Linked DNA regions of Anolis sagrei. The protein of the gene in region 1 interacts with the protein of each later gene in a pairwise test. Links are inferred from orthologs where the notes say so. Each region holds a gene or a part of one and is shown in the gene's direction. Other genes may lie near its edges.

Region 1 (16,613 bases):
TGTTCGGTCCTGTAAACAAATCATATACAAATCAGGCATACAGTATACACACAACCATGTACTTTAAATGCACCCCCTTAAATTGGATTGTATTATTTGATATTAAACAGTAAGTGGAAAAAATACATCCAATGTAGAATTTAACTGCTAGAATTATAAAACAAGAACACAGCCAGATTCAACTTTTGTGGATGTGAGACTGGTTTTGGTTTATCTTCTTGATACAATATAGCAATTGAAAGAAGAAAAGTATCTGGTGCAACTTGGAGAGAATAATAAAATAAAAATGCTTTCAAAGAGTTCATGTTTTCTGTGAAGAGCCAACCGATTTAAAATGTACAATTCAGAACCAGCAGCTTTTAAAGGATGCATCGTTAGATGGTAATGGTTGATTCCCCTGCAGTGTAATGCAATGGCATCTTGATGCAAAAGTAAATCGCAGGATATGTGTCTTTCACATTCCCTATTATAATAATGAAGCATCTTCTCACAATTCCCTATAGTAGGCTAATATCACTTGTCACCTCTTTCAATGACAAAACAGGCTGAACATTCCTGATCCAGAATTCTGAAATGCTCCAAATTCAACACATGGATGGCTGAGATAATGGTTCGAGGTACACAAACTTTGTTTGAAGCACAAAATTATTAAAATATTGTAAACTTATTACCATCAAGTTATGTGTATATTTTGGAAATTATGACTTCTTGAGATCATAACCTTTTGGAAAACCAGGAATCTCCAAATGCTTTTGGAAGCTTGACCCTTTTGGAGATTAATTGTCATTTGCACCATTTGGAATAATCATTACCTTTTTGTAAAGTATAATCTTCATGAGAAGAGCTAAAAACTCCATCGTAAATATCCACTACTATTCATGCAAGGCAATTAGGTTTCTCGGCTGTTAGACTGATATACCTAGATATTTCTTTGAACTAGATCATGGGATTTTAATGTTTATACTAGAATGTTTTTATGCTTTGTCTGAATGTTTAAATTTGATGTATGTCTTATGTTTAATGGTTTTAATGATTTTAAGTTCATAGTTATATGTAGTAATTAGTTATTATGATTTCTTTGTGTACTGTATGTTGGCATCGAATTTTTGCCATTAGTATGTTGTAAACTGCCTTGAGAATATTACCCAGGGGTGAGAAAGGCAATAAATAAATAATTATAAACACAGTAAATAAATAAATAAATAAATAAATAAATAAACTGTTAGGAACAAAGATTATGCCAATGCACAAAATATATAGCAGATTTTCAGAAGTGTTATTTCAGTTGCCCAAAAACATCTACTCTCCCATAAAATATATTTGATTTAAATCATGCTCTCAAGAGAGAAAAATAAATAGTTTTCATTAAAAATAACATAGTTTGTTTACTTACAAACTTCATATATTCAGCTTACAGGTACATTGCTTATCAGTTGAAAGTGTAAACAGTAAGTTCTCCAAAGCATTCTGTTGCAGTCTCTTCTCTGTCTTATGTCTAATGCATAATGAACGCTGACTATACAATGCAATACTGACTTCTGAAAATGGAGTCTCAGTCTGAATAGTCCCAGATCTGGTCACATGGTCTGCAGTCCCTCCCACAACATAGAGTTAAGGAAAACTGCATAACAATACAGTACACACATACAATATACAGTAAGCAATCTGAATGATATACATAACAAATAACTAGTATAGAAGGCTTGTAGAAGGTTGCTATTTCAAACTTGAGGTACACAAACTTTGTTTCAAGCACATTATTTTAAAAGATTGTAAAAATATTACCGTCAGGTTATGTGTGTAAAGTATATGTGTGCAAAGTATATGTGACACATTAATGAATTTTGTGTTAAGATTTAGGACTCATCTCTCATTATATGCATTATATCCTGAAATCTGAAACATTTCTGATCTTAAAATTCCAGATAAGAAATCCTCAAGTTGTATAAAAGACGAAGCAAGAGCAATCAGTGTCTATTCTTTCTCTCTCCTCTGTTTATATTTGAGGAATAATGTATTGCTTTTATGGTGGATTTTATAAGAATTAATGGTTAGAGGAAAGAGAATGGCTGAGGTTATAGAAAGGGAAGTGTTGCCCAAGAAAATATTAGTAGTGTTTATTCTGCTATTTCAAAATGTTAATACTATTTATTTTATTATTTTATTTTGGCATAATTATTTTGGAAGCCTCTGACCAGTTGTATATTTCCCTTTCTACACTGCCATATATAATTCGGATTATCTGGATTAATTTTATTTCTATCCCACTTTTCTCCCATTATATAGTTCACATGTTGTACATCACAATGACTGTCAGTCTACTGGCCTTTTATATTTCCCCTTCCATACTGCCATATACAATCCAGATTATCTTCTTTGAACTGGATTTCATGGCAGTGTAGACACCTATAATCCAGTTCAGAGCAGATAATGCGGATTATCGGATTTGATAATCTGGATGATATGGCAGTGTAGAAGGGGCCTCCGTTATACTCAATTATTCTGGCGGAAATACAGTTTGGGAAGCCTACTGTGGGTGGATCTACACTGCCCTATATCCCAGGATCTGATCCCAGATTATCTGCTTTGAATTGGATTAGGAGTCTACACTGCTAGACAAACTGATGCTGGGATATACAGAAGCGTAGATCCAGCCTGTGATTGCATTCCTACACGCTTGCTTTTTCCTTTCATAGGCGAGGAGGAGAAATGCGGTCCCTGCCCCTTTAAACGAGGAGGCTTGAAAGCGAAGGGAGGGGGGCGGGCCGAGCCTCTTTCGCCTGGAGAGCCGCCCCTTTCGCCTGCCTAAGCCCCGCCCCGTCTCGTCTTGACTGGTCGGTGTCGCGAAGCCGCCGGGTGGCTGAGTCGGTCCTGCTGCCCGCCTGCTTTCCCACTAAGCCCTTGCGAATTTGCGGCTGCTAGTGCGGAGTTGCTCGCTCGTCCGGCGCCGCGGGCCGCGAAGGAGGTGGGCTGAGCGAGCACCCGCCGTCAGTCTTCCCCTTCCTCCTCCTCCGCGAACGGGGCTGGAAGCTGGCTCTCCTCCACGCTGCGCCTCCTGCCGGCTGCTTTGAGGAACAGCAGCCTTGGGATGAGAGAAGAGAGCAGAGAGAGGACTGGGCTGTATCATTCCATCTACACCAGTGTTTCTCAACCTTCCTAATGCCACGACCCCTTAATACAGTTCCTCATGTTGTGGTGACCTCCAACCATACCATTATTTTCATTGCTATTTCATAACTGTAGTTTTGCTACTGTTAAGAATCGTAATGTAAATATCTGATAAGCAGGATGTATTTTCATTCACTGGACCAAATTGAGCACAAATATCCGATAAGCTCAAATCTGAATACGGTGGGGTTGGGGGGGGGGGGGTGATTTTGTCATTTGGGAGTTGTAGTTACTGGGATTTATAGTTCACCTACAATCTAAGAGCATTCTGAATCTCCACCAACGATGGAATTGAACCAAACTTGGCACACAGAACTCCCATGACCAACAGAAAATACTGGAAGGGTTTGGTGGGCATTGATCTAGAGTTTGGAAGTTGTAGTTCACCTACATCCAGAGAGCACTGTGAACTCATTCAATTATGGATCTGGACCAAACTTGGCACAGATACTCAATATGCCCAAATGTGAATACTGGTGGAGTTTGGGGGAAATAGACCTTGACATTTGGGAGTTGTAGTTGCTGGGAGTTATAGTTCACCTACATTTAAAGAGCATTCTGAACCCCACCAACGATAGAATTGCACCTCATTTCCCACACAAAAACCTCCATGACCAACGGAGAATACTGTTTTCTGATGGTCTTTGGTGACCCCCCTGCTACCTTCTCATGACCCCCCGAGGGGTCCCGACCCCCAGGTTGAGAAACACTGATCTACACTGAAGAATTATTGTTATTATTATCATCATTTTATTCCTTTGCACCCTGCTTTTCTCTCTCGATCCAGACCCGCAGGAGCCACACTGCTAATGATGGTGATGTGTATTATATATTCATAACAACAACAAAATATAATTCTGCAACATAATACAGTATAATTATATTAACAACAACAACAACAACAACATAATAATAATAATAATAATAATAATAATGTCACAGGTACCACCTCCCAGCAGTAAAGAATTGGTGGGATCATAAACCTGCAAAGGAAGTGGAAAATAAATATGCAAAAATACTGTGAGACTTTTGAATCCAGACTGACAAAGTTTTGAAACACAATACACCAGACATCATGATTGTGGAAAAGAAAAAAGTTTGGATTATTGATGTCGCCATATCGGGTGACAGTTGAATTGAGGAAAAACAACACCTTTTTTATTTGATTTTCATGTTTCTAAAACAGATTAACATACAAATGTGCTAAATACATACAATAGAATACAATGTTCATGATAGCCCGAATGGATATCATCCTTGCAAATCTCACTATTGACAAGGATTTAAAATCTTACCTTTCATTTCCAAGACATTTCTACAATTAAAAAAGAAGCAACGATTGGTTGCTGTACAACCCAGTCCTTGGCAGGCACATTTGCTCCAGCATTAGGCTGTATGAATTGGGACAGATGTATACATATTCCCATTATGCATATCCCACCCTCCTGACAGAATGCCTTAATGTACTGTGACAGGCCTCTCAGGCATCTGCAACAGTAAAAATGGAACAACAGGATTTCTTCTTCTTCTGGCTTCTACACATTCTTGACAAGAAACTAATAGTGAATTTGAAAAGAAATGTCGAAATCTAGTCAGGTGCAGAGTTAAAGCACTATGAATCCACTTTAACTGCCATGGTCCATTTAATGGAATCCTGGAATTTGTTGTTTTGGAAGTGTAATTAAAATTCCTACCCAGATAACTCTAGTTTCTTATTAAACAACATATTCTGGGATTGCTTAGGATACTGGCATGGCAGTTATAGTGGAATCATAGCACTGTAATATGTCATGTGAAAGAGCCCCATGTTGAACTGAATCACTGTAGACCAAAACATTTGGGGACCCATAAGTTGAGAACCACTACTGTATATGGTTATGTAGCTTCTGGTGATGGTGATGATGCAAGATCATGAAAAACATGAAACAAACCCCTGAGGAATTGTGTCGTCTCTTCTCGCAGCACTGGCACTTCAGAGCAACAATGAGCCTGATGCATTCACAATTTCCCTAGGTGCTACAGACGTGCCATGAGGAAATTCAATACATCTGTAACAGAAGATAAATGTCTTACAAGAACATTACCTGAATTAGTGTGTTTTGTGTCATTGCATCAGATATCCTCATTAGACACATTCTGATTTATTTTGTAACTACTGAAGGCTTATACATGATTGATTTTGTTAATTCCTTTACAGAGCAATGCTAGACACTTTTAGACAGACTGAGAAAAATGTTGGTGGCATATACTTTCATTCTGCTTCCCCAAATGCATGCAGTGAAGGTCAAGGGACAATGCAAAGGAAGTGTGTAAGCAGATTGTGTGAATAGCCATAGGAATGCAAAATATGTGGTTTGACACCCCTTTAACTGCCATGGCTCAATGCTATGGAATCATGGGAGCTATTGTTTTACAAGATATTTAACTTTCTCTGGCAAAGAGGGATGATGACTTACAAAACTACAACTCCCATGATTGCATAGCATTGAGCCCTAGCAGTTAAAGGGATGCACCCTTGTAGTCTATGGCTCCATTTGCACTAACCATTTAATGCAGCTCAAAGTTAGCCTCTTCAAACTGTGGCAGCGAGACAACAAACTCCCACAAAAGTATGTGGAAGAAAGCCCTTAATGTGTGCATCAGTACTCTGTGATTTCTGTATAATCATCATCCATGCCTCAAATTGGTTCCAGGATTTTCTACGTAATCATCAGTAAAATAACTTTTAAAAAACAGTTTGAAACTGTATGAAATGATCAGTGTAGAAGGGGCCTGCAAAAACTTACATTATGTATTTTAAACTGATAGTTCATGTTGTATTTTGATATGCTGCTGTCCCCCACTATGTGGAGATAATAGGTAACAATAATAATAACAACAGTAATGATTGCATCAGCTTCTTTCTCTCAGGGTATATCTACACTGTTGAATTAATTCAGTTTGGCACCACAGTTTGCCATGCCTTAATGCTATGGGAGCTTTGAAATGGTTGAACAGCAGCTCTCGGAAGCTTTATGGGCTCTTACTGCCTATTGCAGGGAAAAACAACTGATCCCTAATCCATCTAAAATGCAGACATGTGTTTTTCACCTTAAGAACAGACTAGCATCTCAAATTCTGAGGATTACCTGGGAAGGAATCCCACTGGAGCCTTGCAGCACACCCAAATACCTGGGAGTTACCTTGGACCGTGCTCAGACCTATAAGAAGGACTGCTTGAATATCAAGCAAAAAGTGGGTGCTAGAAATAATATCATACAAAAGCTGACTGCCACAATCTGGGGATCACAACCAGATACAGTGAAGACATCTGCCCTTGCACTTTGCTATTCTGCTGCTGAGTGTGCATGCCCAATGTAGAATATTTCAGGATGTCTATGCCCCACACCACTGCAGAAATTATACTGTTTAGCCGGTATTGCACCACCTGTTATCCATTGGTAAGTAGCAGCCAGTAAAGAAAGGACCAAGGCGTCGACATATCCAGCCCATCCTTTGTTCGGATATCAGTCAGCAAGCAAATGCCTTAAATCAAGAAATAGCTTCTTAAGATCTACAGAGATACTCGCAGGAACACTTCAGCAAGCTAGAGTCCAAAAGTGGCAGGCTAAAACCCGAAACATCAATCAGTGGCTGATACCGAATGAGAAACTCCCTTCCTGGGCACACAGAAGACTGGGTGACTTGGAAAGCACTGAACAGACTGCACTCTGGCACCAAGAGGTACAGAGCTAACCTTAAGAAATGGGGCTACAAATTGGAGTCCACGATATGCAAATGTGGAGAAGGGCAAGTGTGTAGTAAGGGACCACTTACTACAATGCAGTCTGAGTCCTGCCACATGCACAATGGAGGGGCTTCTTATAGTGACACCAGAGGCACTCCAAGTGGAAAGCTTCTGGTCAAACGAAATGTAGGCCTGTTTATTGCCCTGCTTCTCTCCTTAGGGTTCCATTTGGTGCATGTTTTCAATGTTCTGTTTATGTGAGCCTTTTCCCTTTGTGTGTGTTTCACATGGCTAAATTTTTCTAACACTAAGACAATCTTCAATTGATTTCTAAGGCTAAGACTATTTATTTAATCGAACTATTCTTCATACTTCATACCTGCACTTTCCTATCAGCCCTGCCCTTGCAACTGTTTTGCACAAGCTCCTGCCTCGCCCCTCAGCTCAATATATGGCCTCTAGGTTAGGTTATTGGATGTTTTGATTGTGGATGGTTATGTTTTTATGATGTTTTGTAGTTGAATTTTACTGTGTTATATTTTAAATTTCTGCTTGTCTGGGTTTGGTCCCCATGTAAGCCGCCCCGAGATGGTGGCGGGATACAAAAGTAAAGTTATTATTTTATTATTATTGCTATTATTTATTAATAAAATGAAATCAGGTCCCTTGTCCCCTTCAGTATCATAGAGCCAAGGTATTAACTTTGTTTGAAGCTTTTAAAAACATTATAAACTAGCCGTCCCCTGCCAAGCGTTGCTGTGGCCGTCTGTGTATATGTGTTTTGTGTGTGTATATATGTGTATATGTATTTGTGTATATGTGTGGTTTTGCGCATGCGTTGTAATGGTTTTTGTTTTTTGGCTTTTTAAGTCTCTTCTGCTGTGTTTTTCAGTGGTTTTATGAGTGAAGAATCAGAAACTCAACATGCCTTTGGATGAAGCTGTGCAGAGATCCAAGGAGATCATTCAAAGGAGATCATTCCAAGGTCACTAATTGGCCTGATAGGTGTATTGTGTCCAAATCTGGTGTCAATTTGTCCAGTAGTTTTTGAGTTATGTTAATCCCACAAACGAACATAACATTTTTATTTATATAGATACATAAATACATTTTAAATACATTATAACTTTAACATTATAACTTTATTTTCAATTTGCTTCAGACACGATAAATAAAGATACTATGGGATCCTGGGAGCTGTAGTTTAGTGAGGCACCAGCCCTGTTTGGCAGAGTAGGCGAGAGACCTTATAAAACTACAACTGCCAGGACTCCCTAGCATTAAGCCGTGGCAATAAAAGGCATTCATTTTACAGTGTGGGTTCACCCTCAACTAATCTGCACTTAGGCAATCCCTCGTTGGATGAGTAGGATAGTCTTCCAGGGTCAGTATTCTTGTGGATCCGTAGGTGGCTGTGGAGCCCTATTCTTGATCTGCATCTTCTTCCGCATTGAGGGCAGTGGTTTCCAGGTGGAAGGCGATCTCTGTCGGGGTTGGCTTGATGCGCCTTCCTCTTGGCACGCTTCTCTCTTTCACCCTCCATTCATGCCTCTTCAAATTCTGCAGCACTGCTGGTCACAGCTGACCTCCAGCTGGAGCACTCAAGGGCCAGGGCTTCCCAGTTCTCAGTGTCTATGCCAGAGTTTCTAAGGTTGGCTTTGAGCCCATCGTTAAATCTCTTTTCCTGTCCACCAACATTCCGTTTTCTGTTCTTGAGTTTGGAGTAGAGTAACTGCTTTGGGAGACGGTGGTCAGGCATCCGGACAATGTGGCCGGTCCAGCGGAGTTGATGGCGGAGGACCATTGCTTCAATGCTGGTGGTCTTTGCTTCTTCCAGCACACTGACGTTTGTCTGTTTCTCTTCTCAAGAGATTTGCAGGATTTTCCGGAGGCAGCGCTGATGGAATCGTTCCAGGAGTTGCATGTGACATCTGTAGACAGTCCACATTTCACAGGCATAGAGCAGGGTTGGGAGGACAATAGCTTTATAAACAAGCACCTTGGTATCCCTACGGATGTTCCAGTCCTCAAACACTCTCTGCTTCATTCAGAAACATGCTGCACTCGCAGAGCTCAGGCGGTGTTGTATTTCGGTGTTGATGCTGACTTTAGTGGAGAGGTGGCTGCCAAAGTAGTGGAAATGGTCAATATTTTCTAATGTTACACCATTAAGCTGTATCTCTGGCATTGGAGAGGGGTTGGGTGGTGACTGCTGGAACAGCATTTTGGTTTTCTCAATGTTCAATGACAGGCTGAGCTTCTCGTATGCTTCTGCGAAGGTGTTTAGAGTGGCTTGTAGATCTTCTTCTGAATGTGCACAGACGACATTGTCATCAGCATATTGTTGTTCTATAACAGATGTTGTAACTTTGGTTTTGGCTTTCAGTCTGCTGAGGTTAAACAGCTTGCCATCTGTCCGATAGATGATTTCCATTCTGGTGGGAAGCTTCCCATCAACAAGGTGAAGTATCATAGTGATGAAGATGGAGAATACAGTTGGGGCAATAATAAAAATGTTGACGCCTGATTTTACCTTAAATGGGTCACTTTGGGACCCACTGCTGTCCAAGTCTGTTGTCATCATGGAGGAGCTCAGGATGTTCACAAATTTATTAGGGCACCCGATTTTTTGGAGGATGGTCCAGAGGGCGGTGCGATTCACTGTGTCGAATGCCTTTGCTCTCAACTAATAAGTCCAGGAGAAGCGGGAATACGGCTTGTCCCTATTGAGAGGGGCGGAACCTTTTTTCCCCGGAACGGATGCGCGCGGCAGCGGAAGCAGGCCGGGACACAGAGTAGGCGCGCGCAGCCCCGGGGCCGAGTCTGCTGCTGCCGCGGCCCTGATGAGCTTGGTGGCCGGGTGGGCGCTGCCGAGTCCTTCCTGTTCCTGGAAGAGAGAGCCCGGGGTGGGTCGGCAGGGAAGAGACCCGGCAGCGAGCCCCGCGCCCTCTTCATGGCAGGGAACTTCTGGCAGAGCTCGCATTAGTGAGTGAACCCCTCGCCCCTCTCTGGTGGGGGGCCCTGGCTGTGGGGGAGCGGGGAGGGGAAGGCTTTTCAGGATGCCACGCCACACACTTCCTGGCCCTGCTGTTTTGAAGGGGGCTCCTGGAATCCCGGGCCACAGGAGGACTGAGGGGTGTTGGCAAACTTGGCAAGGAGAGTGTTTAATTGCTATAGAGCAGGCATGGGCCAACTTGGGCCCTCCCTCCAAGTGTTTTGGACTTCAACTCCCACCATTCCTAACAGCCTCAGGCCCCTTCCTTTTCCCCCTCAGCCGCTTAAGCTGTTAGGAATGGTGGGAGTTGAAGTCCAAAACACTTGGAGGGAGGGCCCAAGTTGGCCTATGCATGCTATAGAGAATAGAGATGATTATGATATTTTTATTTCTCTCTAGAATTGGCACAACATGGACATCATCTGTGCTGTAGAATTAATGCAGTTTGATCCCATTCTTAACTGCCACATATTCAGGATATTCAGGGAATTATAGTTTTGCAAGGTCTCCTACAGGAAAGTGCTGGTGCCTCACCAAAGGACAAAAAACGCCCTCCTCTCCCCTCAATGGCGTAGTGGGTTAAACCATTGTGCCAGCAGAATCCAGGGAGCGGGTTGAGCTCCTGTCTGTCCGCTCCAGCTTCTTATGAGGGAACATTAGAAAAGCCTTCCGTAGGATGGTAACAAATCCGGGCATCCCTGGGCAATGTCCTTGCAGACGGCCAATTCTCTCACACCAGAAGTGACTTGCAGTTTCTCAAGTCGCTCCTGATATACACAAAAAAACCCCCAAAGGACAGAGAAGGCTAAAGACCTTGTAAGATTACAGCTCCCAGGATTCCATGGCATTGAGCCATGTCAGATGGAGTAGAGACAAGCAGCATTAAAATCAATAATCTAGATAGACCCTTTTGTAGAACAGCAATATTAATATCAAATTAAATCCATAGTTTAAAATTGAGTTTTATGTTAGCTGTGAGGTGCTGCCTTTTGGGGCGGAAGGTATAGTGCAGGTTTTAGTATCCCTTATCCTTACCAATTTTTAAAAATAATATTATATTGGCATACATATTTTTCACATATATAAAACAATGTTCAGGGAAAAGCTACACAAAATATCCATATTTACATTACAGCACTAAAATCCAAACATTGCTCAGCGGGATAATATTATATGATATATTTGATGCAATTCCCTTTCAAGGAATTGAATGTTTGTCTTTGTTTTTCTGTATGCTGGAATCCGCCCCAAGTCCTCTATCGGTGGTGTTCAACCTGTGGGTCTCCAGATGTTTGGGCCTTCAATTCCCAGAAATCCTAACAGTTGGCAAACTGGCTGGGATTTCTGGGAGTTGTGGGCCAAAACACCCGGGGACCCACAGGTTGAGAACTATTGTGTTAGTGTGTGGCTGCAGTGTGTAGGCGCGCCACACAAAAGTAACAAGTAGTGTGTAGGCGCGCCACACAAAAGTCTACATGAAATAAGCAATAAAGCGTTTTTTTAAATATATATAAATCCAAAGTTTTCATGAGATATGTTGTGCTTCCAAACATTTTGTTATTACAATTTGTATAAATCTATATATTTTTTTATAAGGAGTTGGTTTAACCTCCAGTTTGCTAGTGAAACTGAATTACTGTGAGGCAAAATGATACATGCCTAAAATGAATGTAACATACATGAAATGTTTGGAAAGCTTTTCTTTAAATATGGAACGCGGGACTAAATAAAAGGGCTGTGCCTGTAGGTACAAAGAAGCTAGAGAACGAGGCCAAGCAGATCTGTGGGAAGGAGCCCAAGAGCAGCAGACTCTTTCTCATGTTTTCACTGATAGTATCTATGATGGTGACAGGACAGTTAAAAATAATGGACCTTTAAATAGTCTGGATCCAATTTCAAATTTGCCTTTGAAATAGCTACCAAAGCAGAAAAATCATAGTTTATCACAGGCCAGCTTTCCCCCCAGTTAGTTACTTTTTCTTATAGCTAATAGTTCAGAAAACAAACCCAAAAGGAAACAAATTACAGTAGGTTGCTGTGAGTTTTCCAGGCTGAATGGCCATGTTCCATAAGCATTCTCTCCAGACATTTAACCCACATATATGGCAGGCATCCTCAGAAAATGTCAGGAGAGAATGCCCATACAGCCTGGAAAACTTGGCCACACAGCTTGGAAATGGCCTAGCAATTCTGGCCATGAAAGCCTTCGACAACACAAATTAACAGTAGTTTTCAATATGATTAATTGAATATGCAGAGAAGTTTGTTATTTTGGCATCAGGCTGTAGAATGAAAGTTGACAAGCATGTTTAATACATGCAATACTCAAAATTGGTTTAAAAGATGTACTCTCTATTTTTTCTTCCTTTGCAGCTTGCAATGGATTTTGGATAAACAAGATCTGTTGAAGGAACGCCAAAAGGACTTAAAATTTTTGACAGAAGAAGAATATTGGAAGCTACAGATATTCTTTACGAATGGTAACATGATTTCAGTTCTAGTTTGCCCCACTGATGTGTGTTGCAGTTGTATTGCTTTGTGCTAACTTCACAAAACATGCAAAATTATAAAGCAAGAAGATTTATCTGTTATGTACCTAGCGAAAAGAAACTTGGACATGCTTGCAGCAGAAGCTTAAGCATTCAGCTTAAATCTAGCACTGTTCAACATAGATTATTTTATTTTCCTACTTAGGTGATGAAACTATCATCACCCCCTTTAGCCCCTCCATTTGTACTGGAGGTCCCCCAGTTTTTAAAAGTAGATTGCAAGAGAATATTATGAAAGGTAGAGGGAGCAGAAATTACACTCCACACTGTTTCATGGATATGTAACAGTGTAATTAGAAATACTTCATTAGAAAATGTCTTTCTGCTTTAAAATAGTACTGTAGCATCTTGGGGCCATGTTACATATTGACTTCCAAGACTTTATAAAGGCAATGACACACTATTTGGTCTATATGTAATGTGGATCCTGAAAACACTGGGCCTTCAGGAAAGTTGAAATAGACTAATCACACTTTAATAGTTTGTTGTTTTCGGGTCCCAGTGCGGATGTGGAAACTTGTGTAAAATTCAAAATACACTTTTTTTTTTCTTGAAACTAAACTTGGCTCCTTCATGAACTCTACTCTGCGTAGAGAGCACTGATGATAAACTGAAGCATCTAGGCCAGAAAATGGCTTTGATTGTGTGTCTGGATATTTCACTGTGGCTGTTATCAGAAATTTGATGCGAAAGTATAGCCATATACTCAGGAGTAGTGGTCAAATGTGATAGCCTTCAAATAGAAGCACATTTTTGAGGGCTAGGACCTCAATTTTTGCGAACCACCATGAGAATTTCCGGGGGGGGGGGGGGGCAGCTGAACCCCGGCTACATGCCTGGTTCGGTATAAGCTTGGATAGAAACTTATCCTTAATGGAGAATGTTCAGCTGATAGCTTAATCCATGATCTGCTGAGCAAATAATTACACAAAGTAGGATTCAGGATATAGTGATAGTAATGCAACATGACATCAGGGTGATCTGTTGTAATGGTTGTTTCTTTAGACAGCCCTTCTGCATGTACGTTTTGTTTGGCTGTGTTCCTTTTAAAATGTGTGCATAAATGTGTGGACTGAAATAGAACTTGCAGGGCTCTTTGAAAATGGCATGATAATGATAACAGCATTGCCATGTTTGGATTATGTATGGATGAGGAGATCCAGGAAGAATACCAAGTAAATCACCTTATGTTTCATTCCATCATTTTCGCCTTCCACCTCTGCTTGGTATCCCTGATGGATGCTCCTGACATTCTTGGCAGATCTCCTTTGCCTGGAAGGCCAAACAAGAGCTACCTGTGCAGCTGACACCAGGGTTGCTTCTTGGCCAACTGGCAGGCAGAGCTAGTGATGGAGCAGCTGACTACCTCTTCTGGTCTCTCAACACCCCACTCCCTTTCCCTAGACTAAATATGCCATGCTCCAAACACCTGCTGCCTCTGAAACCCAGCAACTATGTTGATCCTGGGATCTTGATTCATTAGACAGACAACAGCCATTTGCAAGGCATTCAAACACTTCAGCCCATAATGATGATTCAAAATGCACACAATAACCTGGTAATATTCTCCTATTAGAATTGTAGGGCAAGTGAGTTGAGAAATGTAGTAAGTTGTACATGATAGAGCAAACTGTTGCCTTCACCATGTTGAGATGCTACCTACGCATGTACCATATGCCTCTTCTGTCCTTCATGGAGATGTGACTAATTTGATGTGACTAATTTGATAGAACTACATTTAAAAGCTGGAAATAAGTGCCATCTGCCAGAATATGAACTAGTTTGACTTCGTGAATAGTATATGGCACTTGGACCAGGGTTCACCTTCAGTCCACCGGGTAGCCATGGGGAAATCATTGGCCTAGTTTGATTGTGCATTTTTAAGCACAGGAAAGCCATAGCCAAGAACATGCTTGGCAACCAGAGGTTCCTCTTTCCATTGTGTACCAATCACAGCAAGCTGTTCCCAGTTATGTCTGAAACAGACAACTGTGGTTTAATGTTAGTATACTAATCAGGATCTAAAACTACGCTTTGTACTTTTTGAAAAAATCCTGAAACGATATGTTTAAATTGGACCATTGTGGTTTCTATTTTTGTTATTTGTTATTATGTGTCTTCCAGTCATCTCTTTCTTAAAATGAAGGGCCAAATCAGCCCTATGGTTGCTTTTAAAGAGCCATTGAATCAATGGGCAGATAATCCATGAAGGCAAATGAGCATGTGCATTAACAAAGGGATCTGTAAATATATAAGGAAGTTCAAGTGAAAAATACATTTTTGTCAGTCAGCTTGTAAGACCTCAGAAATGTTGGAAAAATAATAGTTTCTTAGCCTTGTGGGATATACTATCAGTGATTCTGACAAAATGCAAGCTCCCATTTTGAAACTTTAACTCAGTTTTCTTTTTGTTTGTAAGTCATCCAGGCTTTAGGTGAACATCTGAAATTAAGACAACAAGTTATTGCCACTGCTACTGTCTATTTCAAGAGGTTCTATGCCAGGTAGGATCATGCACTCTGTTAGCAGAACAGTGCTTTCTTTTCTTGCACATTGTTATATCATTTAAAAGTTAAAAATTGATTTTATTCTAATTATATACGTAAATCCTATAGATTGATAGGATTCAGCTCTTCTGAAAAAATGGAATAGTTAAGAGTAGCTCTTCCTCTCTATTTAGAGCTATATTTCTTTTTTGCCCCCAGATACTCCCTAAAAAGTATAGATCCTGTTCTGATGGCTCCCACATGTGTGTTTTTGGCATCTAAAGTAGAGGTAAGTGGAGTATTTCTGATTTTTATGTGCAAATTTGGTTAAATGGAGAGGTATTTTAACTCCCCCCTCTTTTAAATACTGCATTTGGTATCTTTTTCCATTTGTGAAAAAGAGAAAAAAATACAGTACTAAAAATTAACAAGGGTTCATTATAATGTTGTAATGTTAGTCTCTCATATTGGCCATTTGCTGTCTTGTCTATCTTCAGTTCTGTTAGACATTGTATTTAAACAAAGTTTATATCACTATTCCAGTAGGTGTACTTTCATTAGTTTTTCCACCACTTTTTATTTTTCTACATTTCTTTTCTTAATATTTTTCTGTACTATCTCTCCTCTTAGCTTCATAACTATGGCTGTTTAATCATATGCAATGGGTACTTGGTATCAATTGCGACCCCCCCCCCCAATTGATACCAAAATCTATAGATGTTCAAATCTCATTATATACAATATAATGAGATGATGTTCATTGTATAAAATTGCAAAATCAAGGTTTCTTTTGGAGACTAAGTATTTTGAATTTGTGGATAGTAAGGGCTAGCTGTCAGCAGACCAGTTGGTAACCTCTGTTCCTTGAGCACTCAGACCTTCTGGTACTTGTCCTGCAGGTTTAGTTTATGTTTTTGCCTTATGGACATAGAAGCGTGGCATGACAAGGGCCATCCTGTCAGTTGCATTGCAGTTGACAGGTTCTGCTGCATGTAACGAAAATAGCCTCCTTTTCAGATGGGTTGTTAATAGCCTATAGCAGGCCTGCACAACCTGCACCCCTCCAGCTGTTTTGGCCTCCAACTCCCAGAATTCTTGGCCATTGTACAAGCTGGCTAGGGCTTCTGGGAGTGGGAAGCCTGAACAGCTGGAAGGCCGCAGGTTGTGCAGGCTTAGTGGATTGTTGAAACTTTAGTGAAGCAAGCAAAGTTTTGGAGGGGCACTTTCTACAGTAGTTCTCCATATCCAGCTTCAGCCATGTGAATTTAGCTGTCCCACAGTTACTAGCCATCCCCCCTTTTGTCCATGTTCTTTTTAAGGAAGCCTTTTTAAAACTCATAATGATAAGCCATGATGTACATCTAATGTGGTATATCTTCCAGCATGATTTAATTTTATTTTCTTTTACTAGGAGTTTGGTGTAGTTTCAAATACAAGATTGATATCTGCTGCTACTTCTGTATGTAAGTGTAAATTATACTCTCTGTATGATACAGATGTAGAACAGCTGTTATAAAAGAATAGAAAAGACGTACCCTTTAAAAAAGAAATTCCATCCCCCAAGTGTGATAAGACTAAATAGTTTACTCTTAATATTGCTGATATTTTGTAAATTCATCTTGTTTAGATTTTTTTGCATACATGATAATGGAAAATTAATACCTATGAACCAGTGAATGGTTTGATGT
Region 2 (16,105 bases), on another chromosome or scaffold:
CACTTTGACTTGTGCTCAGTAGCAGACTAGCAGCCAGTGAAGCAGGCGAAACAAGGGAGTTGTATGCTCCCTGTACCCCGCTCCAGTGAATAATCTGGCTGCCGCCCATTGGACCAATTGCTGAACCGTTTTCACAGGCAATCCCACACAGAGCGGGTTGCAGTAGTCTATACGGCAGAGGTTCCCAACAGGGACCACTCTCCAACATTAACAACAAAGCAACTTTGAGGGACTAAACATGGTCTTAGAAATGGCTGCTTTCTCATTACAACTGATTTGTGGCAATGGCAGGTAATACTACCACTACTAATACTACTAATACTACTAATATTAATTATTATTATTATTTATAACATTTCTAATCCGCCCTTCTCAACCCCCGAGGGGGGACTCAGAGCGGCTAACACTGGCAGCAATTCAATGCCGCAAAGAACAATATCTTGCACATGTGGCCCGCTCATTGTAATGTTATTTTATTTTACTGTGTATGGTTTTGCTTTATCGTTTTCGTACTCATACGTTGTATGTATTTTACTGTGTTGTTATTGTGGTTTGATTTTACTTTATTGTAATATGCTGTTGGACTTGGCCTCATGTAAGCCTCCCTGAGTCCCCATTGGGGAGATGGTGGTGGGGTATTAAATAAAGATGATGATGATGATGATTATTATTATTAAGATCCCCAGATGTTAAGATTGTCTGGGGAGGCCCTGCTCTCGATCCTGCCTGCATCACAAGTGCGTTTGGCGGGGACGAGAGACAGGGCCTTCTCAGTGGTGGCTCCTCGGCTGTGTAATGCCCTTCCTACAGACATCAGATCGCCCCCCTCCCTGTCAGCATTTCAGAGGAAAGTGAAGACCTGGTTGTTCGAGCAGGCATTTGAAAAGGCAGTGTAATGAACATAGGAATATGGAACAATTGGATGTTGAGATTGGATCTTGATTTTAACTATGAGATGCTAATGAGATGTTTTATTGATTTATATTGATTGCTTATTATGCCACTGTTTTACTTGTTTTTAACTGTTTTATGATTTTTTGAGCAGTGAATTTTACTATTGTTAACTGCTTTGAGTCGCCCGAGGGCTGAGAAAAGCGGTATATAAATATCGTTAAATAAATAAATAAATAAATAAATAACATCAATATAAAACCATAAATACATAACAGATTAAAAACAATAACATTAGTTACACAATCATACAGCCGTTTCCATTATTCTAACAATCATATGGTCCAGTTCAGTGTCCAAAGTGCCGTTATGCCTGCTAGCCAAAAGCCTGGTTCCAAGACCACCATTTCAGTTTTTTCCTAAAGGAAAAGAGGGAGGATGCTCATCTAATCTCACTGGAGAGCGGGGGGTTACCACCGAGAAGGCCGTCCCGCAACCCTACCAGATGCGTTTGCGAGGCTGGTGGGACCGAGAGCAGGGCCTCCCCAGTGGATCTTGAACTACGAGGTGGAACGTAGAGGGAGATACGTTCGGAGAAGTAAGCTGGGTTGGAGCCGTATAGGGCTTTGTAGGCCAAGACCAGCTCGGAATTGGATTGGCAGCCAGTGGAGTTGACATAACAGGGAGGTGGTGTGCTCCCTGTATGGCGCTCCATAACAACAACAATAATAACAACAACAACAACTTTGGGGGACTCTCCTTCTCTCCCTCGCTTCTTCGCTCATTCCGCCTGGTGAATCTTCTCTGCCCTGGCCTGGGAAGCTTCCGAAGGCCGGGAAAGCCCTGGCGAGGGCAACACACTGGCATCTCCTTCCTTCTTTCCTTCCTTCTCTCCCTCTCCTTCTCTCTCTCTCTCTCCTCAATCACAAGCCAGTGACAATTTTCCTGGCATGTCTTGCAGATCTTATTTTAGGTCTAGTGGGCTGCGGCCCACGGGTTGGGAACCACAGATCTAAGATGATTTCAGCCATTTTTCTCCCACCTGGCTGCAAGCAAGTTGTGTGAAGCAGGGAGGGAAAACAGAAAAAAGGAAGACTTACCAAGGTCATTGGAGACCTTCTCAAACTGGCTTAGAGCAGCTCCAGCATTTGTTGAAAGGAAGGTCTCATCATCGGGCGTCAGCTGAAAGGAAAGGAAAATGAGTTGGCTGTATTGTAAGTGGTTAAAGATGAACGAGAAAAACATAATTCATGGATAGATAGGCTTCAAATGTTTTCCATAGATTCCACATGAAACCCAATTAGCCCACCGTCACAAGTGTGGGGCCTTGAGATATGTAGAATTTTCCCACTTTTGCACACCTGACCCTCACAAAAGTGGATGGCAACCTGCACATGCCATTCAGTTTTTAGTCCCATGAAAGACAGAATTCCAAAATGCGTACCTTCTCCCCAAGCTTGCGGAGTGCGGTGAGGATTTCCACTTTCTGCAGGGTGTAAAGGTCCCGCCCTAGCTTTCCAACAATCAAATCTCTGTCCATCTATACAAGAAAGGGGGAGGGGAGGGAAGAGAGAACATTTACATATTTGACGAATGATTATTTTATTGCAACCTTTGTCTATGCCACTGCTATCAAAGACATATTTGGTGCAATGCAAGAGAGAGCCTTCTCTGTGGCTACTGAGCTTAGGATTACTCCTTGCATTGCACCAAATATGTAGGAAAGGCATAAGACGCTCCAAATAAGTCCAGGAGGTGATAGCGCAGGCTTCTCAGCTTGGAAATGGAGAACAGCACCTCCCCAGAGCCAGAGATGAGCACCACCTCCAAAGCCGGAAATGAAAGGAGAAGCCTTTGCCTTTGTTTATGTTTGCATGTCTTATTGTATTGTAACAAGGCATTGAATGTTTGCCAGCATCTGTTTATACTGTAATCTGCTCTCTATCCCCATTGGAAGATGGGCGGAATATAGATAAAGTATTATTATAAGTGTTATTAACAAGATGTGCTTTTTAGCTGGAAATGAAAGGAGAAGCCTTTGCTTTTGTTTATATTTGTGTGTCTCATTGTATTGCAACGAGGCATTGAATGTTTGCCAGCATCTGTTTACACTTTAATCTGCTCTGTGTCCCCATGGGAACATGGGCAAAACATAAATAAAGAATTATTATTATTAGTGTTATTAACAAGATGTGCTTTTTAAGCCGGAAATGAAAGGAGAAGCCTTTGCCTTTGTTTATGTCTCATTGTATTGCAACGAGGCACTGGATGTTTGCCAGCATCTGTTTACACTGTAATCTACTCTGTGTCCCCATGGGGAGAAGGGCGGAATATAAATAAAGTATTATTATTAGTGTTATTAACAAGATGTGCTTTTTAAGCCGGAAATGAAAAGAGAAGCCTTTGCCTTTGTTTATGTTTGTGTGTCTCACTGTATTGCAATGAGGCATTTAATGTTTGCCAGCATCTGTTTACACTCTAATCTGCTCTGTGTCCCCATGGGGAGAAGGGCAGAATATAAATAAAGTATTATTATTAGTAACAAGATGTGCTTTTTAATAGTGCCCTATTCTGCTTCTCGTGATGAGAGGCAACACTGTAACATGCCTTACATCTTTGCAAATCTCAACAAGCAATAAGTGTACATTCATTTTTTTAGGTGCAAGGGTTAGATCCTTACCTCGCCCAATCTAGTTCTCAACTGCCCAGGCTGTTTTTTGGCAAACATGCGGATGACTTCTGGGGTTTTGAAAGCCTGGCTGATGGCCGCTTGTATGGCCTGCAAGAGACATAATATAACACAAACTGTGGGCTTGTCTGCTTAGTTGGCCTCAAGCAATATCTCTAATACCAAAGCCAATAAGACATGTCTACCCTGGACGAAAAGGATTAGCAAATGTGCACTGGACTGGTTCACAAAGAAAGTACTCACCAACTGCATCCCACTAAGTTCATCCACCAGGGTCATGTTTCCGGACATAATCTTCTTCAAGGAATCATTGAACTCACTCAGCTGTTCGAGGGTTTCCTTCTTGGTTTCTTCATATTCATCTGTGTCTAGTTCCTCTCTGATTGAGAACCAAGAGTTAAGATTGCTGAGAGATCTTTAAATACTGATAAATCAAACTTATTGTTCTAAAGCTCCAGACTATGGGGTTGCTGTGAGTTTACTGGGCTGTCTGGCCATGTTCCAGAAGCATTCTCTCCTGACATTTCACCCACATCTATGGCAGGCATCCTTAGAGGTTGTGAGGTCTGACGGAAACTAGACAAGGAAAGTCTATATATCTGTGGAAAGTCCAGGGTGGGAGAAAGAACTCTTGTCTGTTGGAGGCAAGTGTGAATGTTGCAATTAATCCCCTTAATTAGCATTGCAAAGCCTTGCTTCAAGGCCTGGCTGCTTCCTGCCTGCGGGAATCCTTTGTTGGGAGGTGTTAGCTGGTTTCTGAAACATGGCCATACAGCCCGGAAAACTCACAGCAATCCAGTGATTCCAGCCATGAAAGCCTTTGACTATTCTTACAGACTATTCTTACAGAAAGCCTCCAGACTATTCTTACAGCCTCATCACGCTAGCATTTTAAAGCGGGCACACCCACTTACTTGGTGCCTTCTGCCTGCAGAACTCTGGGAAATGTAGTTTGGGGAAGAGCCTGCTAGAGATGTCCTCGCCCTCCCAAACTACATTTCCCAGAGTTCTGCAGGAGGCAGAAAACACGAAGAAAGCAGGGTGCCCACTTTAAAAGGCTAGTCTGATGACTATAATCATTACACATTTCAACAATAGCTCTTTATTGTTCCACAAATAGATAAACCCCATTTTCCTAGTTTCCAACGGACCTCACAACCTCTGAGGATGCCTGCCATAGATGCAGGCAAAATGTCAGGAGAGAATGCTTCTGGAAAATGGCCAGACAGCCCGGAAAACTCATGGCAACCAAATAACTCTTTACTTTCCCATTACTCAAAAGAAACTGGTTATGTTATGTTTCCAACCACACCCCAAACAAATGAGGCTTTGGGGCCAGATGTACAAAAAGATTTCTCCCTGTTCACATGGTATTACCAAACCTTTTCGAGCATAGTCATTTCCCAGAAGCTGTTTATTACCGGCACTCCTCCAGATCTTGCAGTTGCTGCATCAATCGGTCCAGCTGCTCTTCCAAGTTCTGTTTCAACTTGCTGGTTTCAATTGTCCCTCTTGAAGCCATTTTCAACTCTTCGCATTACCAACCTCTGCGAGAGAAACAAAACATACTGTGCTAATTAGTAACCAGCTCAACTTATAACTTATACATCGTTTGGGTATAAAGGTCAATATTTATTCTCTTCCTTATATGAATATGCCCAGCCTCTTCGACAGTCTAGAGAACAACAATATACTTGGGATGGTTACTGCAAAATAACTTATTCAAGAAGAAATTAGATAACGTTGACCATTTATGCTCCCTTGGCAGCCACCTCTCCACAAAAGACAACATTGACACTTTGGTAGAAACAGGTTAGCCCAGGGTTGCCTATCATTATTTATTTATTTATTTATTTATTTATTTACTTGCGACATTTATATTCTGCCCTTCTTACCCCAAATTACAAATTCTCACCTGCCTATTACAGGGAAAACCAACTGATCCCTAATCCATCTAAAACACAGACATGTGCCTTTCACCTTAAGAACAGAGAAGCATCCCGAGCTCTGAGGATTACCTGGGAAGGAATCCCACTGGAGCATTGCAGCACACCCAAATATCTGGGAGTCACTCTGGACCGTGCTCTGACCTACAAGAAGCACTGCCTGAACATCAAGCAAAAAGTGGGCACTAGAAACAATATCATATGAAAGCTGACTGGCACAACCTGGGGATCACAACCAGACATAGTGAAGACATCTGCCCTTGTGCTATGCTACTCTGCTGCTGAGTATGCATGCCCAGTGTGGAACACATCTCACCACACTAAAACAGTGGATGTGGCTCTTAATGAGACATTATCACGGGGTCTCTGTGCCCTACCACTGGAGAAATTACACTGTCTAGCCGGTATTGCACCACCTGACATCTGCCGGGAAGTAGCAGCCAATAGTGAAAGGACCAAGGCAGAGACATCTCCAGCTCATCCCTTGTTTGGCTATCAGCCAGCACGTCAATGACTTAAATCAAGAAATAGTTTTCTAAGATCTACAGAGACACTCGCTGGAACACCTCCGCAAGCGAGAGTCCAAAAGTGGCAGGCCCAAACCCAGAACCTCATTCAATGACTGATACCAAATGAGAGACTCCCCCCTGGGCACACAGAAGACTGGGCGACTTGGAAGGCGCTGAACAGACTGTGCTCTGGCACCACGAGATGCAGAGCCAATCTTAAAAGTGGAATCCGTGACATGCGAGTGTGGAGAAGAGCAAACCACTGACCACCTGCTGCAATGCAACCTGAGCCCTGCCACATGCACAATGGAGGACCTTCTTGTGGCAACACCAGAGGCACTCCAAGTGGCCAGATACTGGTCAAAGGACATTTAATCCACTACTAAGTTTGCAAAATTTGTGGGGTTTTTTTAATCTGTTTGTTTGTTTTGTTCTGAAATGTAATACAATGTTCTGCTTGCTGATGACACGATAAATAAATAAACAAACCCCAAAAGTGACTTATTATTATTATTATTATTATTAGTGATATTTATGACATTTACTTGTAAGCCGCATATAAATGTCGTAAATAAATAAATCAACAACAACATATGGGGGGCATCAAATTGCTGTGGGTTGTAAGGCGCGCCGAGTCCTCCTTCAAGGGTAGAGAAGGGCGGGGTACAAATATATGTAATAAATAAATAAATATATTAGACACGGAGAAGTGGGAAGCCCTGGCCCTTGAGCGCTCTAACTGGAGGTCAGCTGTGACCAGCAGTGCTGCGGAATTCGAAGAGGCACGAATGGAGGGCGATAGGGAGAGGAAGGTGCGTCAAGCCAACAATGGAAACTGTGGAAGCACATGTGGGTGAAGAATAGGGCTCCACAGCCACCTAGGGACCCACCCCGAAGACACTCCACTTGGAGGGCCATCATATCCAGGGAAGGAGAAGCACCCACCCTTACCTCCAACCCTTCTTCTTCCTCCTCCTCCTCTTCTTCCTCTTCCTGAGCCTCCACCTCTTCCAATCACATCCTCCCTCCAAGAGACAGGGTCTGCTGTCACGGAGGGGCGAGTCCCTCTCACTTCCGGTTCCCAGGTCGTGGGGGAAGCCCTTCGGCGACGGACACAGGCCCGCTTCCGGGTTCTCCAGCCAATCAGGCGCCGCGCTTGTGGTACTGTGGCGATAGTCTTCCCCCCAGCCGCTTGAGCCGCGGTGTTCAGTTCCGGGCCTGAAGTGCTTTCGATTTTGAATCTTTCAGGTAAGGAAAAGACTTTCTTGGCTGGGGAAAAGGAGCTGTTTTGGGTAATGAACACATCTAATGATTTAGTAATATTATCATTATTGAACAGATCTTATTATTTATCAATATTATTGGGTTGCTATAAGTTTGGCTGCCTGGCCATGTTCCTGAAGCATTCTCTCCTGACGTTTCTCCCACATCTTACCATCTATGGTAAGCATCTTCAGAGGTTGTGAGGTCTCTTAGAAACTAGTAAAATTGGGTTTATATGTGTCCAAGGTGGGAGAAAGAACTCTGGTCTGCTTGAAGCCCTTGGCCAACTTGATTAGCATTCAGTAGCCTTGCAGCTTCAAAGCCTGGCTGCTTCCTGCCCAGAGGAATCCTATGTTTGCAGTCCTTGCCTTCAATTCGCATTGAATAGCCTTCAGGCTGCAAAGCCTGGCAGCAAAGCCAAGGATTCTTCCATGCAGGAAGCAGCCAGGCTTTGAAGCTGCAAAGCTAGAAAATGAGGCAAGTGGACTTTCTCTGTATATCTGTGAAATGATGTCCAGGGTGGGAGAAAGAACTCTGGTCTGCTTGAGGCAAGTGTGAATAGCCTTGCAGCTTCAAAGCTTGGCTGCTTCCTGCCTGGGGGAATCCTTTGTTTGCAGTCCTTGGCTTTGGTTAGCATTAAATAGCCTTGCAGCTTCAAGGCTTGGCTGCTTCCTGCCTGGGGGAATCTTTTGTTTGCAGCCCTTGGCATTGATTAGCATTGAATAGCCTTGCAGCTTCAAAGCTTGGCTGCTTCCTGCCTGGGGGAATCCTTTGTTTGCAGTCCTTGGCATTGATTAGCATTGAATAGCCTTGCAGCTTCAAAGCTTGGCTGCTTCCTGCCTGGGGGAATCCTTTGTTTGCAGTCCTTGGCTTTGATGAGCATTGAATAGCCTTGAGGCTGCAAAGCTTGGCTTCTTCTTGCCTGGGGGAATATTTTGTTTGCAGTCCTTGGCTTTGATTAGCATTGAATAGCCTTGCAGCTTCAAAGCTTGGCTGCTTCCTGCCTGGGGGAATCCTTTGTTTGCAGTCCTTGGCTTTGATTAGCATTAAATAGCCTTGCAGCTTCAAAGCTTGGCTGCTTCCTGCCTGGGGGAATCCTTTGTTTGCAGTCCTTGGCTTTGATGAGCATTGAATAGCCTTGCAGCTTCAAAGCTTGGCTGCTTCCTGCCTGGGGGAATCCTTTGTTTGCAGTCCTTGGCTTTGATGAGCATTGAATAGCCTTGCAGCTTCAAAGCTTGGCTGCTTCCTGCCTGGGGGAATCTTTGTTTGCAGTCCTTGGCTTTGATTAGCATTGAATAGCCTTGATGCTTCAAAGCCTCGCTGCAAAACCAAGGACTGCAAACAAAGGATTCCCCCAGGCAGGAAGCAGCCAAGCTTAGAAGCTGCAAAGCTAGGAAATGAGGCAAGTGGACTGTCTATTTATCTGTGGAATGATGTCCATGGTGGGAGAAAGAACCCTTGTCTGCTTGAGTTAAGTGTGAATGTTGCAGTTGGACACCTTGTTTAGCATTTAATGGCCTTGTAGCTTCAAAGCATGGCTGCTCCCTGCCTAGAGGAATCCTTTGTTGGGAGGTGTTAGCTGGACCTGATTATTTCCTATCTGGAATCCCCCTATTTTTGAGTGTTCCTCTTTATTTACCGTCCTGATTTTAGAGTTTTTAATGGCCTAGCAGTTTTCAAGGTGTGACTTCTAACTGCCTGGAGGAATCCTTTGTTTTGAAGTGATTCGCTGTCCCTGATTGTTTCTTGTTTGGAGTTCCCCAGTTTTTGACTGTTGTTCTTTATTTACTGTCCAGATTTCAGAATTCTTTTTTAATACCGGGAGCCAGATTTTGTTCATTTCCATGGTTTCCTACTTTCTCTTGAATTTGTCCACCTGCTTGTGGATTGCAATGGACTTCTCTGTGTCGGCTGACATGATAGTTGTGAGAGTGGTCCAACATTTCTGTGTTCTCAAATAATATGCTGTGTTCAGATTGGTTCATCAGTGTAAACAGATACCGGAAAACATGTTACAATACAATGAGACACACAAACAAAGGCAAAGACTTCTCCTTTCCATTCCGGCTTTACAGGCGGTGCTCATCTCTGACTCTGGGGAAGGTGCTGTTCTCAGTTTCCAAGCCAAGGAGCCTGCGTTGTCACCTCCTGCTACTTTATCACACAAGAGAATGAATCCACTTTAAATCTGATTGCTGCCTCCTGCAGAATTATGGCGTTTGTAGTTTTGAGAGGAGGCTTTAACAGCCTCAGTAAAGTACAAACCCCAGAATTCTGCAGGAGGCAGAAACCGGATTTAAAGTGGATTCATTCTCTAGTGCGATGAGGTCACTGGTCAGTGTAAACGGTGTAAACAGATACGAGCAAAACATGTTACAATACAATGAGACACACAAATACAAACAAAGGCAAAGGCTTCTCTTTTCATTTCCCGCTTTGCAGGCGGTGGTCATCTCTGTCTCTGGGGGAGGTGCCGTTCTCAGTTTCCAAGCCAAGGAGCCTGCATTGTCACCTCCTGCTACTTAATTACACAAGATGATGGTCACTGGTGATAAGGTTGCTGGTCAGTGTAAACAGATACCGGCAAAAATGTTACAATACACACAAACACAGGCAAAGGCTTCTCCTTTCATTTCCGGCTTTGGAGGCGGTGCTTATCTCTGGCTTTGGGGGAGAAGCTGTTCTCCATTTCCTCCTGGTTGTGTCACCGGCATGACAGCTTGGAGTGTCTTATGCCTTTCCTGCCTATTTATCTACTCACATTTGCATGTTGACGAACTGCAAGGTTGGCAGGAGCTAACAATGGGAGCTCGAATCATGCGTATTCGAACTGCCAGCCTTCAGGTCAGCAGTTCAGCAGCACAAGGGTTTAGCCCATTGCACCACCACAACCCTGTGAGGTATTTGGTCTTGCTCATGGAGATGTGGCTCACTGGGGGGAATGGTTGTAATCCAGAATCAAAGGTTTTGAAATTCCTTCCTGTTCAGGGGCCAGATTCAATTTCATCTCTTTTGGGAGCTGCATTACAGACTCAAATGGGGGGAAAGGAAGGGAAAAACACCCATTGTAGCCTAAAGCCTTGCTGCGAGCCTTTTACACGTGTGGGGTGGGAGAACAAAGAAAAACGGGGCGTTAGCATGAAGGGACTCTCCAAAAGGCCTGAGGTTCTCGATCTAAGCATCTGCCTGTCTTTCCAAATGTTTGCAATCAGGAAAAGGTGCTGTCCCAAAATCCCAGCTTCCGACCTGCTCCCGATTCTGAAGCATCTTACGGTTCCATGCCAGTTCCCATGGCAACTGTCTTCCTGTGGCTTCTGCTGCCACACTTCAAGCTCCATGCGCAGGGCTTGTGACTGCTAATTGTTCTATACAGCAGCAGGAACAAAAAAAGGAAAGCGTGTGGGATGTTTCACAATGTGGACAATGAGATCCAGCACACTTGAAAGCCGGTTTGAAGCCTGGGAACCGTATCCTCCCCTCCTGCTTCCCCACTTAGCTCTTTAAAAACTCCCCCAAACCTTCCCTTTTTCAACTCAGAACACCACCTAATGTGAGCGATGTATAAATAGTTAAAGACGCCTGTTCTGTCCTTGGTTCTGAATATCTTTCTCTCGTGGCCTCTGCAGAGATCAGTCAGTTTTCTCTGTGGGTGAAGAACGGATGGAAGCAAAGTGGGTTAAGCAGGGTGTCCATAGTTTTTGGGTATGGTGCCTAAGGAATCATTGAAAATTACTACTACTACTACTAATAATAATAATAATAATAATAATAATAACATACCAGAAAGCCCTCTGACTTTAAACACAACACAGCTGAATAAAATGCAAGCAGTTTATTGAAGATAATTAAAGGCAGTAGCAATAAAAAGCAATCCACAAAAATAGGTAAATCCAATTAGGTAGAAAAGAAAGACAGGAACAACAAATCTTCAGAGTTCATGACAACAAATACTGGAACTACCAAAACAAAACCCCAAACTTTGAGCATGAATCAAACAAGGCACTTCAGCATGGAAAGATCAAGGCATTTGATACAAGCATCTATCCAAGACAAGGCTTCTAGGAACCCGAGATGATATCTGGACTCAATTTCAATGTTGCTTCGTCTGACTACAGATTCTGTACTTGACACTTTTATCCTCTAATCTACTCTATATCCCAAGTGGCCATGAATGTATTTCTTTTCAGCCTTGACTCGATTATCAGTCTCTCCTGCAATCTGGCAGCGCGCCTGAGAGTCTGGTTTGTTTTCCTTTGCTGACTGAAAGCATGTCTCCTATCTACTGGCTCATTAAATTCTGCAGCTGGCCCAGTTGCCGAGCCTTTCTCGGGCTCAAAGCCTTGGGAATTCTTTGGTAGCAATTCAGGCCCAGGGAACAGACCGTCATTCCCAAACCCTTCAGGAACATTCCCATCAGAAAATTCACTTTGAAAAGGAATCCCATTGTCATTCTCTGCATCTAGAGCAACCTCATTATTAGACACATGAACCTCATTGTCACTCCCAACATCCAGAGTATCCTGATCATTAGACACAAACACAGGCTGACCTCCAGCAATACTTTATTTATTTTCCGCTCTATCTCCCTGAGGGGACTCAGGGCGGCTTACAGTACACATATACGGCAAACATTCAATGTCGTTATACAATTAACAAAGACAGACAGTACATAAACAAAGGCAAAGTCTTCCCATCTTTTTCCATCTCTGGCATCTGGAGACTGTGCTTGACTCCAGCCACAGGGGGTGCTGTCGCTTCATCTTCCATGCTGAGCAGCTTTGTTGTCAATAGACGTTCCCCTGATCGAATTGTCAGCATGTCTGGATGGGCACCTTTTATTACTTCCCCACCAAAGCGGTACCTATTTATCTACTCACGTTGCTGTTTTTGAACTGCTAGGTAAGCAGGAGCTAAGATTACGGCAGGAGCTCACCCCAACCCGAGCTTGAACTGCCATCCTTTTAATTGGCAATATTTTCTGCAGCTAGGGGTTTAACTCGCTGTAGTAAAGCCGCTGCCCGGTGCTTTATGGGTCACACATGCCACAGGCAATTGCATTCGGAGACCGGCTTGTAACATTTCCCTGTCCTGGTCTCCCTGTTCAGGATCAGGCCCGGAGAGACCACGTTGGCCAGCCAGAATGGCGCCAGGAGAGAGAAAAAGGCTGCAAGGAAGCAATGAACAAGGCACATATTTAGATCCCCTTTTTGTGGGTCACAGAACACCAGTCATGTCCACAGAGATCTCACCTGAAGTGTGGGAACATTTCCAGAATTATTTTTTAATCATATCAGAAGCAAATTGAGAGTTATACTGCATGCCGCTTCTGGTGTGAGAGAATTGGCTGTCTGCAAGGATGTTGCCCAGGGGACGCCCCGGAGGTGTTACCATCCTGTGAGAGGCTTCTCTCACTGCCCCACTTGGGAAGCTGGGGCTGACAGACGGGAACACGCTCCACTCCCTGGATTCAAGCCACCAACCTTTTGGTCAGCAGTCCTTCTGGTGTGAGAGCATTGGCCATCTGCAAGGACGTTGCCCAGGGGATGCCCGGATGTGTTACCATCCTGTGGGAGGCTTCTCTCATGTCCCCGCATGAGAAGCTGGGGCTGACAGACAGGAGCTCACTCCACTCTCCGGATTCAAACCGCTGAGCTTTTGGTCAGCAGTCCTTCTGGTGTGAGAGAATTGGCCATCTGAAAGGACGTTGGCCAGGGGACGCCCGGATGTGTTACCATCCTGTGGGAGGCTTCTCATGTCCCTGCATGGGAAGCTGGAGCTGATAGACAGGAATTCACTCCACTCTTCAGATTCAAACCGCCAACCTTTTGGTCAGCAGTCGTGGTGTGAAAGAATTGCCCATCTGCAAGGACGTTGGCCAGGGGACGCCCAGAGGTGTTACCATCTTGTGGGAGGCTTCTCTCCTGTCCTCACATGGGAAGCTGGGGCTGACAGACGGGAACTCACCCAGTCTCACGGATTTGAACCGGCCGACCTTCAGATCTTCAGATCAGAAGTTCAGCCGGCACAAGAGTTTGACCCATTGCGCCACCACAGCAATGCAGCAGATGTTTTTGGTAGCCAGACAAATAGGTGAAATATTTTACCTGTACCTATACTCTCACCAATAGAAACATGAAGAGACGTCATGATACGTACCAGCTGTCATCACGTTGCTTACGGACAGAATCACGGAGAAGTAAAATAGCTCAGGAGTGGTTTTGGCCTGTTGGAGGGGGGAAAAAGACATTTTCTTGCTTCTAAATGTGCTTTCCAACCATTTCAAAACTAGACAAGCATTGTCTGCTAACTCACAAATGAAGACTAAGAGGGAGCTTTCTGGTTTCAGGAAAGGGAAGAACTGCAACTCCCAAGTGCTGAACCTGACTCGGCAGATAGAAGATGGTTTTGAAAGACGGCAGGTTACAGGAGCTGTCATCATAGAGCTGTCATCAGCTTATGATATTGTAAATAATCACTTCCTCCTGAAAAAACGTATAATATCACAAAGGATTGCCACCTCACCCGCTTCATGGGAAATCTGCTACAAAACAGGAGCTTTTTGTTGAGTTACAGGGTCAGAGAAGCAGTTGGCAAAAACCAAGAACGGCATGACTCAGGGGAGTGTGCTTGCTCCATCAATGTTTAACGTCGACACAAATGACCAGCCACTACCAGAAGCCACAGAGTTTCATCTATGCTGACGATCGTGCCATCACTGCCCAAGCAGGGAGCTTTGAAATGGTTGAACAGAAGCTCTCCGAAGCTTTAGGTGCTCTTACTGTCTATTACAGGAAAAACCAGCTTGCACCATCAATGTTTAACATTTACACACATGACCAGTCACTGCCAGAAGGGACAGAGAGTTTCATCTATACTGATGATCATGCCATCACTGCCCAAGCAGGGAGCTCTGAAAGGATTGAACAGAATCTCCCTGAAGCATTAGGTCAGTGTTTCTCAACCTGGGGGTCAGGACCCGGGGGGGGGGTGATTGTGAGACGGTGTCTGAGGGGTCGTCAAATACCATCAGAAAACACAATATTTTCTTTTGGTTATGGGAGGTTATGTGTGGGAAGTTTGGCCCAATTCTATTTTTGGTGGAGTTCAGAATGCTCTTTGATTGTAAGTGAACTATAAATCCCAGCACCTACAACTCCCAAATGTCAAGGTCTATTTCCCCCAAATTCCACCTGTGTTCACATTCGGGCATATTGAGTATTCTTGCCAAATTTGGTCCAGATCTATCATTGTTTATGTCCACAGTGCTCTCTGGATGTAGGTGAACTGCGAATCCCAAACTCAAGGTCATGTCCATCAAACCCTTCCAGTATTTTCAGTTGGTCATGTGAGTTCTGTTTAACCGCATTGAGTCGCCTATATAGGCTGAAAAATGCGGCATACAAATAAAGCAAATAAATAAATAAATAAATATGCTAAGTTTGGTTCAATTCCATTTTTTGGTGGAATTCAGATTGCTCTTTGATTCTAAGTGAACTATAAATCCCAGCACCTACAACTCCAAATGTCAAGGCCTATTTATCCCAAACTCCACCAGTGTTCATATTTGGATATATTGAGTATCCTTGCCAAGTTTGGTCCAGACCCATCATTGTTTGAGTGCACAGTGCTCTCTGGATGTAGGTGAACTACAACTCCCAAACTCAAGGACAATGCCCACCAAACCCTTCCAGTATTTTCAGTTGGTTGGAGTTCTGTGTGCTAAGTTTGGTTCGATTCCATTTTTTTGGTGGAGTTCAGATTGCTCTTTGATTGTAGGTGAACTATAAATCCCTGCAACTACAACTCCCAAATGACAAAATCAATCCCCTTACCAACCCTAGAAATCACTTTGACTTGTATGTGTTGTGCGGACCTAATTTACTCCTAAACCTATTCCTTTGTCCTTTTGGCAGTCCATGATGGTCACAGATGCTACTCTCTTTGGAGATGAGTTGATGCTCTCCCTAACGGCTTCCTTCTCTGCTTGGGTTTCGCAACCATGTGTAGAAATAGGAAACACTACAAACACTTGGGACTAAATGTCATGACAGCTGTGATTACTCACGCATTGTGTTGCCAAGGCTGTCAGCGCGGTGGTACAAACGCCTTGGGCCAAAGACGCCACGCCAAAGGCAGAGAAAGCGGTCTTCAGTTCCCACGGAAGGGGTTCCAGCGTGACCAACAGCAGAGACAGCCCTGCAGCGTTGCAAGGAGAGAGACCACATACAGGTCAGAAACCATGGTTGTCGATACCCCTGGAGCATTCACAGACTGGGTTGCTGTGAGTTTTACGGGCTGTCTGGCCATGTTCCAGAAGCATTCTCTCCTGACGTTTCTCCCACATCTATGGCAGGCATCCTCAGAGGTTGTGAGGTCTGTTGGAAACTAGGCAAGAGGGGTTTATCCATCTGTGGAATGATGTCCAGGGTGAGAGAAAGAACTCTTGTCTGTTGGAGGCAGGTGAGCTCCCGTCTGTCAGCTCCAGCTTCTCATGTGGGGACGTGAGAGAAGCCTCTCACGGGATGGTAACACATCTGGGTGTCCTCTGAGCAACGTCCTTGCAGACGGCCAATTCTTTCACACCAGAAGGACTGCTGACCGAAAGTTTGGCGATTCGAATCTGGGGTTGTAGGGTGAGCTCCCATCTGTCAGCTCCAGCATCTCATGCAGGGACGTGAGAGAAGCCTCCCACGGGATAGTAACACATCTGGGTGTCCTCTGGGCAACATCCTTGCAGACGGCCAATTCTCTCACACCAGAAGGACTGCAGACCGACAAGTTGGAGGTTTGAATCCGGGGAGTGGGTT

What was found.
Region 2: the proteins of CCNC (region 1) and NMNAT1 interact in binary tests that used the Homo sapiens proteins (3 or more experiments, as listed by UniProt). The two-hybrid records come from large-scale screens. The link is inferred for Anolis sagrei from reciprocal best matches to the Homo sapiens genes CCNC and NMNAT1.

The regions. Positions count from the first base shown.
Region 1 is NC_090021.1:99,270,138-99,286,750, forward strand, and holds the start of CCNC (cyclin-C), read left to right. Parts: upstream 1-9,697; 5' UTR 9,698-9,848; coding exon 9,849-9,880; intron 9,881-12,263; coding exon 12,264-12,370; intron 12,371-14,858; coding exon 14,859-14,943; intron 14,944-15,144; coding exon 15,145-15,214; intron 15,215-16,336; coding exon 16,337-16,388; intron 16,389-16,613. UniProt on the Homo sapiens protein: Component of the Mediator complex, a coactivator involved in regulated gene transcription of nearly all RNA polymerase II-dependent genes.
Region 2 is NC_090033.1:5,919,986-5,936,090, forward strand, and holds the start of NMNAT1 (nicotinamide/nicotinic acid mononucleotide adenylyltransferase 1), read left to right. Parts: upstream 1-7,214; 5' UTR 7,215-7,283; intron 7,284-16,105. Other genes in the region: protein LZIC, read right to left, coding at 1,992-2,073, 2,336-2,431, 3,572-3,670, 3,824-3,959, 5,002-5,102.